3 linked regions of the Sus scrofa genome follow. The protein of the gene in region 2 interacts with the protein of the main gene of each other region in a pairwise test. Links are inferred from orthologs where the notes say so. Each region holds a gene or a part of one and is shown on either strand. Other genes may lie near its edges.

Evidence for each region. The genes of interacting proteins can lie anywhere in the genome.
Region 1: the proteins of PPP3CA (region 2) and C6H16orf74 interact in binary tests that used the Homo sapiens proteins (3 or more experiments, as listed by UniProt). The two-hybrid records come from large-scale screens. The link is inferred for Sus scrofa from reciprocal best matches to the Homo sapiens genes PPP3CA and C16orf74.
Region 3: the proteins of PPP3CA (region 2) and AKAP5 interact in binary tests that used the Homo sapiens proteins (3 or more experiments, as listed by UniProt). The link is inferred for Sus scrofa from reciprocal best matches to the Homo sapiens genes PPP3CA and AKAP5.

Annotation. Positions count from the first base shown.
Region 1 is NC_010448.4:3,155,860-3,160,123, forward strand, and holds the start of C6H16orf74 (uncharacterized protein C16orf74 homolog), read left to right. Parts: upstream 1-1,378; 5' UTR 1,379-3,635; intron 3,636-4,264.
Region 2 is NC_010450.4:119,688,212-119,691,920, forward strand, and holds part of PPP3CA (serine/threonine-protein phosphatase 2B catalytic subunit alpha isoform), read left to right. Parts: intron 1-1,583; coding exon 1,584-1,723; intron 1,724-3,709. UniProt on the Homo sapiens protein: Calcium-dependent, calmodulin-stimulated protein phosphatase which plays an essential role in the transduction of intracellular Ca(2+)-mediated signals. Many of the substrates contain a PxIxIT motif and/or a LxVP motif.
Region 3 is NC_010449.5:88,537,645-88,541,823, forward strand, and holds the start of AKAP5 (A-kinase anchor protein 5), read left to right. Parts: upstream 1-1,293; 5' UTR 1,294-1,474; intron 1,475-1,480; exon of another isoform or gene 1,481-1,967; coding exon of another isoform or gene 1,968-2,001; exon of another isoform or gene 2,002-2,441; coding exon of another isoform or gene 2,442-2,517; intron 2,518-4,015; exon of another isoform or gene 4,016-4,179. UniProt on the Homo sapiens protein: Multivalent scaffold protein that anchors the cAMP-dependent protein kinase/PKA to cytoskeletal and/or organelle-associated proteins, targeting the signal carried by cAMP to specific intracellular effectors.

The DNA of each region.
Region 1 (4,264 bases), on a different chromosome or scaffold from region 2:
GGCCCTAAAAAAGACAAAAAAAAAAATTGACGTCCATTCTCTCGAGCCTCAAACCTGCTTTCTCAACGAATTTGACGTTGTATTGTGGCTCCGTCGTCGTGGTCGTGTCAGCGGTGTTCCCAGCCGCTGCACCAGGAGTAGATTCCATCTCAGGAAACAGTGGGCTCTGCTCGCTCCCAAGAGCGCCTCAGCCACTGAAGGTTTTGTCGTGAGATCGCAGCGCCTCAGTCCCATCTTCAGGCTCCACTTGCAGTTCTAGCTCTCTCGCTGTGTTCACATCTGCAGTGACCGCCGCCCCCAAAGTCTGAGCCCCTCAAAGGCATCAAGAGGGCTGCAATCAACGTCTTCCACATTCCTGTTTTTTCTTTTAGGGCTGCACCCGCAGCACATGGAGGTCCCCAGGCTACGGGTTGAATCAGAGCTGTAGCTTCCAGCCTACACCACAGTCACAGCAACGCCAGATCCGAGCCGTGTCTGACCTGCACCGTAGCTCACGGCAACACCGGATTCTTAACCCACTGAGCAAAGCCAGGTATCAAACCTGCATCCTCATGGATGCTAGTCAGTTTCGTTTATGCTGAGCCCTGCCGGGAACTCCCAAACTCCTCTTAATTTTAATATTCTGACCTTTTCCCCAGAGTCACAAATGTTCTTGATGGCATCTGGAAAGGTGAATTCTTTCCAGAAGGTTTTCAGTGTACTTTGCCCAGATTCATCAGAGGATCACTGTGGCAGCTATAACCTTAGGAAATGTGTTTCTTTTTTTTTTGTCTTTTTGCCTTTTCTAGAGCCGCTCCCACAGCACATGGAGGTTCCCAAGCTAGGGGTCTGATCAGAGCTGTAGCCGCCAGCCTGTGCCACAGCCACAGCAGTGTGGGATCTGAGCCGTGTCTGTGACCTACCCCACAGCTCACAGCAACGCCGGATCCTTAACCCACTGAGTGAGGCCAGGGATCAAACCCGCAACCTCTTGGTTCCTGGTCGGATTCGATCACCACTGAGCCATGACAGGAACTCCGAAATGTGTTTCGTAAATAGCAAGACTTCAAAGGCAGAGTGACTCCTCGACCCACAGGCTGCAGCGTGGCTGCTGTGTTAGCAGACGCTAAAGAAGTCTAACCCCAGCGCGCGTCTCCATCAGAGCTCTTGGGGGACCAGGCGAACAGTAATAATTTGAAAAGAATCTTTTTTCTGACTTTCAGGTCTCAACAGTGGGGTTAAAGTATTCAGTGGGGGAGTTCTCATTGTGGTGCAGCAGAAACGAATCTAGCCAGTATCCATGAGGTTGCGGGTTTCATCCGTGGCCTCACTTAGTGGGTCAGGGATCTGGCGTTGCCCTGAGCCGTGGCGTAGGTCACAGATGGGGCTCAGACCCTGAGTTGCTCTGGCTGTGCAACCCCTAGCCTGGCAACCTCCATATGCCACAGGTGCAAAAAAGCAAAAAAAAAAAAACAAAAAACAAAACACTCAGTAAACCGTGTTGTCAGCAGACGTGCCGTCATCCAGGCTTTGTTCCACGTCCAGAGCACAGGCCGAGTGGCTTTAGCGTCCTCCTGAAGGACACTGGGACATGTGAAATCGCCAACGAGCCCTGGCTTCACCTGAAAGTCACCAGCCGCATGAGCCCCCAGCAGAGTCGGCCTGGCCTCCGAAGCTTTGACGCCCGGCGCGGACGTCCCCCTCCAGCCCTCGAAGTCCTAGCTGGCGTCTCCTGACACCAGGAGGCTGTCTGGTGGCCCCTGAACATCTGTCCGCGTGGCCACCTTCCTGGGTGATCCGAGCTGCAGCTTCTCCCTCGGCTCGTGCCCCTCGCCGCGCGCTTCGGAGCTGTGGAGGCGGCCTCTGTGCTTCGGCCTCGTGACCCGGCCTCTGCGGGTGGGTGTCTGCTCATTGCCTCCTGCAGCTCCCTCGCCTGCGGCAGCCTCTGCAGAATCGGAGAGAGTGCGGGCCCTGCTCCGGTCGAGGCCTCGGCTTAGGGGCGTGTGGCTGCTCTCATCTTCTGTCCGGAGCAGCGCAGCCTTCTCCACGGCAGCAGGGAGGCTGTTTGGCGCGCTCCTCCCTTGGGTGCTCCCTGGATCCGTGCTTCCACTCCCTTCGAGAAGGCCGCCTTCCTCTCACGACTCAGATGCCCGTTTGGCACAACGGACTTCTGTCTCCGCTTCTGCACGAAGCTCGGTCTCGTCTGGTTTTTGATGGAAAGTGAGAGACACGCGACTCTCCCTTCCCTGGGAGCCCGGCGAGGCCGCTGCAGGCTTGTGGATTGGCCTCATTTCCACATCGCGTCTCAGGGAAGAGGGAGGCCCGAGGACGGGAGGGGGGGCTCGTGGCCAGTCACGGGGGCGGTCAGAGCGCACCTGGCCACAAGGTCACGGTCTCACATGCACACAGCTTGTGGTGTCCAAAGCAGTTAACCACACCCCCCTCAAAGCCCCGGTCACACCTCACCGTAACAAGTGACAGTAATGGAAAAGTTTGACATGTGAGATTGACCAAAATGTGACCCAAAGTGAGCAGATGCTTTTGGGGAAATGGTGCCAGTAGACGCTCAGCAGAGTTGCCACAAAGCTGCAGTTTTTTGAAAATGCAGTATCGGCAAAGTGCAACACCGTGAGCTCTGCCCCTGCTGGTGAGGGTCTCCGGGCCAGGCTGCCAGCCCCGCGCAGCACCTGGCAGTCAGGGAGCCTGCCCCACGCAGGACGCTCCCCAGAGATCCCCAAGGGCCCTGGCTGCAGGCTGAGTGCTGAGGGATGAGTGTGAAGTGTGTCGAGTGGACCCAGTTTCTCCACGGCACCCGGCTCAGTACCACAGAGGCGCTCTTTCCTCAGTGGGTGCTCTCAACAATTAATCTTCCTGTCGCCTGGGCAGTGCCTCCTCCCCGTGGTTGGATCCCAGCTGCCACTCCAGTCCCGCGGCTGCGGGCAGGCGCCTCTCGCGTCTGAAAAGTGAAGGTGGGGGTGCTTTGGCGACACCGTGCGCGCCGGCTCTCAGCACTGTGCGTCTGGGCTCCACTGAGCAGAGGTCTTACCTGCTGAGGTGTTCACAGTTCTAGAACACACTGCGGCCAGACTGACCCCCAGGGTCAAAGCACTGCCCGCCTTTGCTGAGAAAGATCTAAGTGCTTGTTCCCAGGGACCATTCAGTGGACGCTTGTTGAAAGAGGAAGTGAGCGGATCAAAGCGTTTCTTCTCGGAAACACCAGCAGCTTGTATTTCCTTCCCCCCTTGTTTACACCTGCCCCCTGCCCCCAGGGCGTCAGGGTGTCAGGCTCTGCAGGTTGCAGGTCCAGAACCACAGCCCGGCCTGGGAGGGACTGCCTGACCCCTCACAGGACCGGGCCGGGCGTGCAGCCCCTCCCTGCACAGAAGCTGCCTTCCTCCTCCTCCCCGCCCCGCGTCCTCACTCCTGTCCCCCGCCCCCAGCTTTAACGTGCTCTCGTCCTGTGACAACCCCAGTGTGTGTTCATGGTAGAAAGTCAGAAAGAAGCCAGGAGTCACTCCTGGTCGCCATCCTGCAGAAGACGAGGTGGAAAGCTGTCCCATCCGTCGGGATCTCCGAGGCCTCCCGTCCTGGATGCTGAGATGCAAAGAAGCGGGAAGCAGGCGTACATTTGAGGAGCTCACACCGTAAATTAAGAGGTAAAAGGCACAATTACCAGTAAAATATCAGAAAATGTGTGAAGATCTCTGGGCTCAGGCCTGAGAACTCAAATGCATCGAGATTCCTGGCCCAAAAGTCGATTTTTAGCAGGTGGATTCAGGCCACACTTAAAAAAAGCCCTGATCTCTGATGAAAATTCGTGCTTTCTAATGAATAATTGAAGATCCTCAGAAGGACGCGACTTACCCAGTGACCGCGTTCAGCCAGGGGCGGAGGACTGAGCCTGCTAATTCCGCAGGTCGCCAGCGCTGCGCCTCCAGAGGGTTCAGCCTCGCGGGATTCAGGTCTCCGGAGTGAACCTGCCTCGGCAGCAAGCGCTTTCGTTTTTTTTCTCTTTTAAAAGGTGTTCAGCGCAGGATGCGCAAAGGTGCTGTAAACAGTTGAGCAACAGGGAGCAGGCAGCTGAGGCCAGACCTGCAGCTTCTGAGCCGTCTCACAGCCCTGGACCGAGGACAGCAGGGCGAGGGCCTAGGAAGACCTGTCTGTTTATTATCTTAACTTTCGACAGTTGGGTCTCGAATCTCTTCATTCTTCCCACTTCTCTGAGGTGGCTCTGTAGCCAGAGCTCTCCAGGCAGCTGCCGCCCGTGCCCCCAGGGCCCTGTCCT
Region 2 (3,709 bases):
TTGCAGTGATTATTTTATGGATGGCCTAATGGTTAAAATATAGACGGTCTTGTCTTTTTTTTCCTTTTTCTTTTTCAATTTTTTTTTTTTTTTTTTTTTTTTTTTTTTTTTTTTTTTTTTTTTTTTTTGCTTTTTAGGGCTGCACCCACGGCATGTGTTGATTCCCAGGCAAGGGGTCGAATCAGAGCTATAACTGCCAGCCTACCCTACAACCCCAGCAGTGACAGATCTAAGCCGCATCTGCGACCTACACCACAGCTCATAGTAACGCCAGATCTTTAACCTACTGAGCGAGGCCAGGGATCAAACCCTCAACTTCATGGTTCCTAGTCGAATTCATTTCTGCTGCGTCACGATGGGAACTCCTAGAGGGTCTTGTCTTACTGAAGTTTTTCATTGAGTGTTGAAAATGTGAAATATTGCTTCATGCTTTTTAGATATTAGTTAAAAAAAAAAAAGGCATATAGCAGACTGTTACTTGTATCTTAACCTTTTATGTCTCAGAAAAAGATAGAATTTGATGGGCTGTCAGCCCTACATATTCACCTATCCCTATGAGGTTTTTTAAAATATTAAAGCATTGAATATAAAGAATATTAATTCTTAATATTCTTAAGGTTTTTATAGCTGTTTTATCCTTTTGGGTGGAGGGGAAGACTGCATAATATTTGCTAACTTCACTAAAGGTCCTTTAATTGCAACTGCATCAGGACAAACTATAGGAAGGTGACAGTGTTATAAACTTGGTGAAATGTCATTTTCAGTTATTATATTGGTCATAGCTTCTCAATGCACCATATTAAATTGAACTATGACTTTGCTACACATTTACAGCTGGAAAATTGGGAAATGGGTTTCCTATGAGAATTTCAGACGAAACTATAAAAAGCTTAGAACAGTGAGCTGAAGAATGACGCAGCTAAATTGGGGTTTAACTGCTTATCATTACGATTGGTTTGTACCCAGTAAGATATCTCCAGTCAGCTTGGCTTTTGATTAGAAACTTAGCCCCTAATGAATGCATATCCAAAATGTCATAGAGCCAGTAGCCACTTTTACAATGAAAGCCATCTGTTCTCAAAATTATGCTGTTAAATGGAAACACCCCAAGTTGTTCCTCATCCTCATTTCTAAATCCCAGTTTAACAGAGGCAGTAACAGAAATTGCCCCAAAGATAGAATAAAATAAAATCTTCTCCTCCAGGAGTGACACACAAATAGGGTCACATCACCTGGCAGTGACTAAAACACTTGACTAGATAAAATAAGAAAGAAGGAGAGAAGAGAGACGGAAAGGAAACCAGGAGAAAAGAGAAGGAAAGAGCAGGATTAAAGAGGCAGGCAGGAGGTTAAGGCTGAGATGAAGGCAGATCGCAGTAAATGAGCATCAGGAGGAAGAAGGAAGGAAAATTTGAGAGAGGAGAAGGGGGAGGAAGGTGAGCAGAACAGAAGGAGAGGTGGGGCCAGTCCACACTGCACTGGGGCTGGGGAGAGATGGTGGCTGTTGCAAAACATTGGTTTCTCCTGTTTTCTCCAAGTTTCCAAAGATTAGTATTTTGCTCTCTGTCTTTTATTTTTCTTAGTTAGACCGATTCAAGGAACCACCTGCTTATGGACCTATGTGTGACATCCTGTGGTCAGACCCCCTGGAGGATTTTGGAAATGAGAAGACTCAGGAACATTTCACTCACAACACAGTCAGGGGGTGTTCATACTTCTACAGGTGAGGACCGAAAGCTCCAGCTCGCCCTCTGGAGCACATGACCTTCATAACTGCTGTCATTGATCAGCCATCCGTATGTTTGATTTACTTACTACATGTGTATAACTTTACTAGGAAACAAGTATAAGCGAAAGACTTACTTTGAAAGCCTGGTTCAAATGGGTTCTTAGCCCTTGAAAATCAAAAATAAATGGATAGGTAAATAAATGAATGTATATCAGCATATAGAGCTAATATCTGTGAAAAATAGAAGAGTATAAAAGAGGCAAGTGGCTTCAGGATGGCAAGGCAGCTGGAGAAGTTGGTAGGATTTGGTAGAAAGATTGTTTTCTTTCCAGAACTGTAAGAAAAAAGTCTACTGCCCGCCTTGAATTTTCACTTAATTACATAATCACTTCAAAATATTTTTTACCAGTTTTCATAACTTAAAATAATTAAATTATTTTCAAGTGATTCTTAAATTTTCTTAAGCTCATCAGACTTCCTGAATAAATTTGAATTAGCAGCAACTCAATATATAGGTACCATAGTAAATTGATTTTTAGCGCTTGACAAGCCACATTGAGAAAAATTTTCTACTGATGTTTATACTTGCCGTTGTATGGAGATTTGCCCATCTCATAACATTTTAGAGCACTTCAGAAAGAATTCAGCAACACAGTTGGGTTTTTGCATGCCCTCACGATTTTCTCGACATCTCGGTCACCTCAATTTTAGCCTACTGCATTTCATTGCCCTCAGTTTCACTAGATTCCCTTATCAAACTTCAGTTTTATGGGAAAGTGGCCAGAGTGAAAGCGTGCAAGAGATTATGAAGGAGCATTTAAATTCTAGTACATATAGTCCTTTTATTTAACTTAAAAATCAAACCTGATGTTCACTGAAGTTTACATGAAATTCCTGCCCTGCAGCTAAGCTAATGGCCAGGCTGGAAGAACTCTACAAAAGATGCATCCAACCCAATATCTTTTGTCTCTAGGGTAAGCAGATATCATTCTCCTGCATAATACTGATCAGAGTTTATTCAGTGGTTGAATATTTTGTTCCAAATACATTGTTTCCCTTGTGAGGGAAAAGAGTTTCCTTTTATTCAGCTGTTGATATGATTGAGAAATTGAAGTTTGAGAACAGAAAGTCTTGAAAACTGTAAAGCATCATTCAAAGAATAGTTTTTGCTTTAAATATAAAGAAAGAGGTTTATTCTGAGTTTACTTAACCAGAAAGTTTGTGATTCATTTCTTTGTTTTAGAAATTTGGGCCAAGGAGGCATGTACACTATTTCTGAAAAGTCTAAGGTTTCTTTTCAGTTATTAGAGAATTGATGAATAATCTTTTATTGAAAATGTTCAAACTTTTAGTGAAGAGTAGTATTGTTGAAATATATCAAAGCCAGGTGTTCGGTTTTTCAGATCTGGTGCTAAATCCCTAATTATATCGTGGATGTTTCAATTACCTATTTGATACTGAGTCATGCTTCAATAATACAATATTAAAAAATACAAACCTCTTACTTTGACATTGAGCCACATTACATTAATCTTTCTTTAATTTGTAGTATAACATTTTTCTGTTCGTTTTCTGAGTGCGCTCTTCAAATGTATCCTATTCTAAATAAACTCCCTGAACTCATATAAAGGCAAGGTATTTTTGTTTTGTGAATATAGACAGAGATGTGTTTACATCAGAGATAAAGTCCATCAACTAGATAATTACAGGATTATGCATGTTTTCACACTTTTGTTCTCAACAAGATGATTATTTAACTCCTCTCATTAGAGGTTCTTAAGAGATAATGATCCTTAGCCATGACAAAAGCTGACTGTGGAAATCCACAGCCTATATACTCTAATGGCAAAGCAGTCTGGGTTATGTTTTATCTGAAGAAGAGAAAAATGACTTACACATTCTCCTGGAGCTTTTTGATTCTTTTGTCTTCAGTCTTGAAGGTGCTATCATCAAGGTGTCAAGGCTTCCTCTGGGGTCTTG
Region 3 (4,179 bases), on a different chromosome or scaffold from region 2:
ACTATAGGTGCTTAGGGATTTTCCTGTTTTATAGCGCTTGTCTCTAGGATCTTGACAGCTTAGATTCAGCTTTGCTATTGTGTAAATAGTTCTTTCCTTAATAAAGAATCTTACAAAGGTAAACTATATTCCTGGATAAGCATCCAAAAGTGGGTAAGAGCTTTACTCTCTCAAAGCTCATGGTCCTATTGAAGAAAAGAGATAAGTACAACTGCTTTTCATAGTTCTTCCCTCTGCCTTAATAGCTTCTTCATCTAGATAGTATGCTTGGGAGGGGCCAGAGGAGGAGGCAGGAATTGTGCATCCTGCAGGACCTCACCATAGAGGCTCCCAGGAATGCCCTTGTAGGTAATATTAAGCCCAAAGCAAGTCACCCTAAACTCTCACTGCAACACCTTTCATTGGTGCTAATCCACTATATACAGTGGATTATGTATACAAATCAATGCTTATGGTGCTTTTCACTATGACTGGGAACTTGCTTAGATAAAGACTCTCAAAATGTGTGAAAATAACACAGCCTAGCCAAACAGAGAGTGAATATTGCCAGTGCCCTTTGCTCTGGTCTGTACTAGAATTGTGAGGAAAGTCAACTCATGTTTTAAACCCCTAACCCTCACCCCGCGCTGTACTTGAGAGGGACAAGGTTAAGCAGACACCTAGGAATGTAAGGGAAACGGGTAACTTGTAATCGACTGAATCCTGGAAATATACAAGATGTAAAGGAGGGAGGGGGCTGTGTTTCTGTGCCCTTCTGACATCGATATCACACAGTTTGCATCATCTCTTCCTTCCTCCTAGATTCTTAGGAGACAAGGGTCTGTGTCTTGGGCCTCTGAGAACCTTTGGCAGGGAACCGTGATAAGTGCATTACACCCAAACCCATTCCTGGAAAAGTTTTATTTTCTCTATTCATATAGGTAATTTTTCTTTTCAAACGAGATTGACTCTGCACAGATCTGAATCCTACTTTTAAAATGTGATATCTGCTGTGACTTTAAATATTCAGTGGGGGGATTTATGATGTGAGTGCCCATAGTTTAAAATTGGATTTTGCTACTTTGCATCTGAGAAAATGGAAGGCTTACGACCTTGGTCCCCTCCCCATCTCTCTCGGTGGCCCCCGGCCCTTGCCTGGATGTGGTCGCGCCTAAAAGATTGCCGCCTGGCTGGGCGCGCGAAGGTCCCACGCCCGGGGCTGGGCTCACCCGCAGGTGGACCTCCTGTCCCCCCCCCGCCCCTCCCCCGGGCCACCGCCCCCGCCCCCAGCCCGGGCCCCGCCCCGCGCCCGCCTGCTCCACGCGCATTGGTGCCTCCAGCTGTCGGTCCCCGCGCTCTGGGGAGGGGGCGTCGCCCGGCTGCGGTCCCTCTGCAGAGGGTTGCTCGCTCCCGGTGCGCCGCTGCCTTCCCGCCGGCCCCGCGGGCGCCCCCGCGACCTCCGCGGCAGCGTTGTCCAGGGACCCCGGCGCCCTCGGTAAGTGAAGCGGGCGATGAGGCTGTGAGGAAAGAGGGCGCGGGGCCGGTGTCCGGTCCGCCGACCGCCCGCGTGGCGGAGTGGGCGGGAGGTGCCCGCTGGCCACCGGGAATCTGGGGCCCCGAAGGTGGCCGGGGTAACAACGGGGGAAGGTGTTTGTCCGCAGACATCTCCACTCAGTACGACCCTCATCACTCTGCCCACCTGCCCTCCCCGCGTTTGAGTTGTCCTGGGGGCTTGTGTAGCTGGTAGCTTTTTTCCTTCCTTGCCCTTTTCGGGGCGAATGCGGTGTGGGCTTCCTGGCCATTATAATTGTACATTTAGCTTGAAGCTGGATTAGCTGTTCCCCGCCCCAGCACTTTCCTTTTTGAGTACTTTATCCTGCGCTCTAGCTCCTGCCATAAGGCGCGTCAAGCCGAATGAGAGATGCCTTCCTCCTGAAGGAAGCTTCGTGTGGCCCACACCTGGCGCGGGGAGAGATGCACCGCTTTTCTCAGGAAGTGGCTGCTCTTTGCCTCCGTGCTTCTCTGCTCACGGGAAAAGGGCAAGGGGTATTTTCAGTGGCAGCAGACTTGCGATTCTATCAGGAAATTACAGCTTCCTGGAGCAATAAAACTACTTCTGCAGGTTAAGGACGAATCATTTGCAGTCTAATGTTCCGCAAAGTTTTAATAGCCACAGACTGCATTCTCCCCCTTTCAGTTAGGTTTTGTTTGGATATCTGTTGTAGTTCTACATCTTGGTATACATTCCAGTGAGCTTCTCAAGCAATTGTCCTTGAGCAATCCAAGTTAGTTTCAAATGACACATTCCTAAATGATCTAATATCAGCATTTCTATTAGGTATACATCCCTCCGGTTAATAAAAAAACACTCAGGTGGGAGGATTCATAAGAGGTGCGGAGACAAAGAGCTATAATTAGCTGTGGTTCTAGTGTATCATGTTTAGAGGGACACTGTTAAATGTTCATATTTTAGTTCCATCATGGTTGTAGGATGGCTTTGTCTTTCTGTCGGAGGCAATGGAGTATGTATCACCCGACCTAAGGGAATATTTGCTTACATCATGAACTGATATTCAGAGTTCCAATTCCTTCTGTGGTTCATGGAATCAGGAGTTGCCCAAATAAACCTTCAACAGTGAAGGATTTACATTTTTTTAAAAGTACAAAGAAAGATTCCCTTTGCTTATCTTCAGACATCCATAAACTAAAATCCACAGGATTTCTGTTAGGTGGTCACCTCCTTTCTCTGTTCTCTGGTACTATCATACCATCTTGTGGATTAACTTTAAAATATACCTTTATGTTTATGTATAATCAGTTTGTCAGTTGCACAACTTATCTATTTATTTTTGGCTTTTAGATTAGTTCCAGAACCAAGAAAATATAAAGAATTTCAAAAGCTTGATTTTAAAATGGCAAGAACTCAGTCTACTCTTGCTTCAGCTATGAGTTGATGGGCTGCATCCTGGTTACATGACCACTGAACAATCTTTAAATTTTCGGGCTAGTGAGTTTGGTGCAGATTAGCATCTCCAAAAACGTCATTTTTTTCTGATGAAAATCCTAAAGCCCAGTTTCAGGGGATGGGCTTCAGAAACAAGCAATTTTGGGTTGAATCTGAGCTCTGTTATTGACTAGCTCATCTAGAGCAAATTAACCTCGCTCTGGGCCTCAATTTCTTCATCTGTAGATGGTGATACCACCACCTACTCTATAATGTGGGAGGATTAGAGATGTGTGTAAAAGGGCTTAGCACTTCCTAATACACAGGAGTTGCTCAACAAATGTCAACTACTGTTATCATTCACTCTGATCTTCAGTTACGTGCTCGTTATGGAAAATGTTTAAACAGCAGATACTTAGGAAAAAAATGTCAAAGTTATACAAACAAATTTAAGAGTGGAGAATGACAGTAATGTTAAATTTCCCAAGAGCATGTATGAAAAGTAGCACCTCCTTCATGGAATATACATTTTTAGAACAGAAACCTTATGGTATAATGGAAAGAACATCAGAGAGTTAAAGTCTTCAGTTCTAACTCTGGCTATGACCTCATCTAACTGTGTGGCTTTTAGCGGGCCAGCTGCCCACTTTGGAGCTCAGTTTCTTCATCTGGCTGGATCTGAATAATCTCAAATGATCTCTAAGATCCTTTGCAACTTCAGAACTCCTTATTGGATGTAATAAAATTTAGCTTGCCCAGCACCCTGCCCTTTATTGTTTTTTGGTGGTGGTAGTGGTGGTTTTTGTCAACTTTCGATTCAGAGTCATAAACAGTTCATAAAGACAGCACAACTACAGAATTGATAAAATAATATCAGATTTGCAGAGTAATCCAAAATGAAGTTTTAACAAAGAGAGCAAAATAAATTCATGCTGAAATCTTTTTGGATAGGGCAAAAGTAAACCCCAATTTTTATTCTCCGGTCATTTTGGTAAGTTATTATATGGGAAACATGCCTGGTAGAATCATAGTCTCTACAGAAAACAGCAGGCTGATGGTGAAATAAAATACCACTCTGTTTTCTCTTGTCAGGTTGATCGTTAAATAAAGCAAAAATATATCCAGTAAAAGGGCTTTCATGAAGAAATTAAAGACAGAAATTACAAGTAATAGAGAAACTAGGTATTTGTATAACTGGAGAAACCACCTAAAATAACCATGGAGTAAGACAAAAGGAGTGACTCCATCTGGAAGAA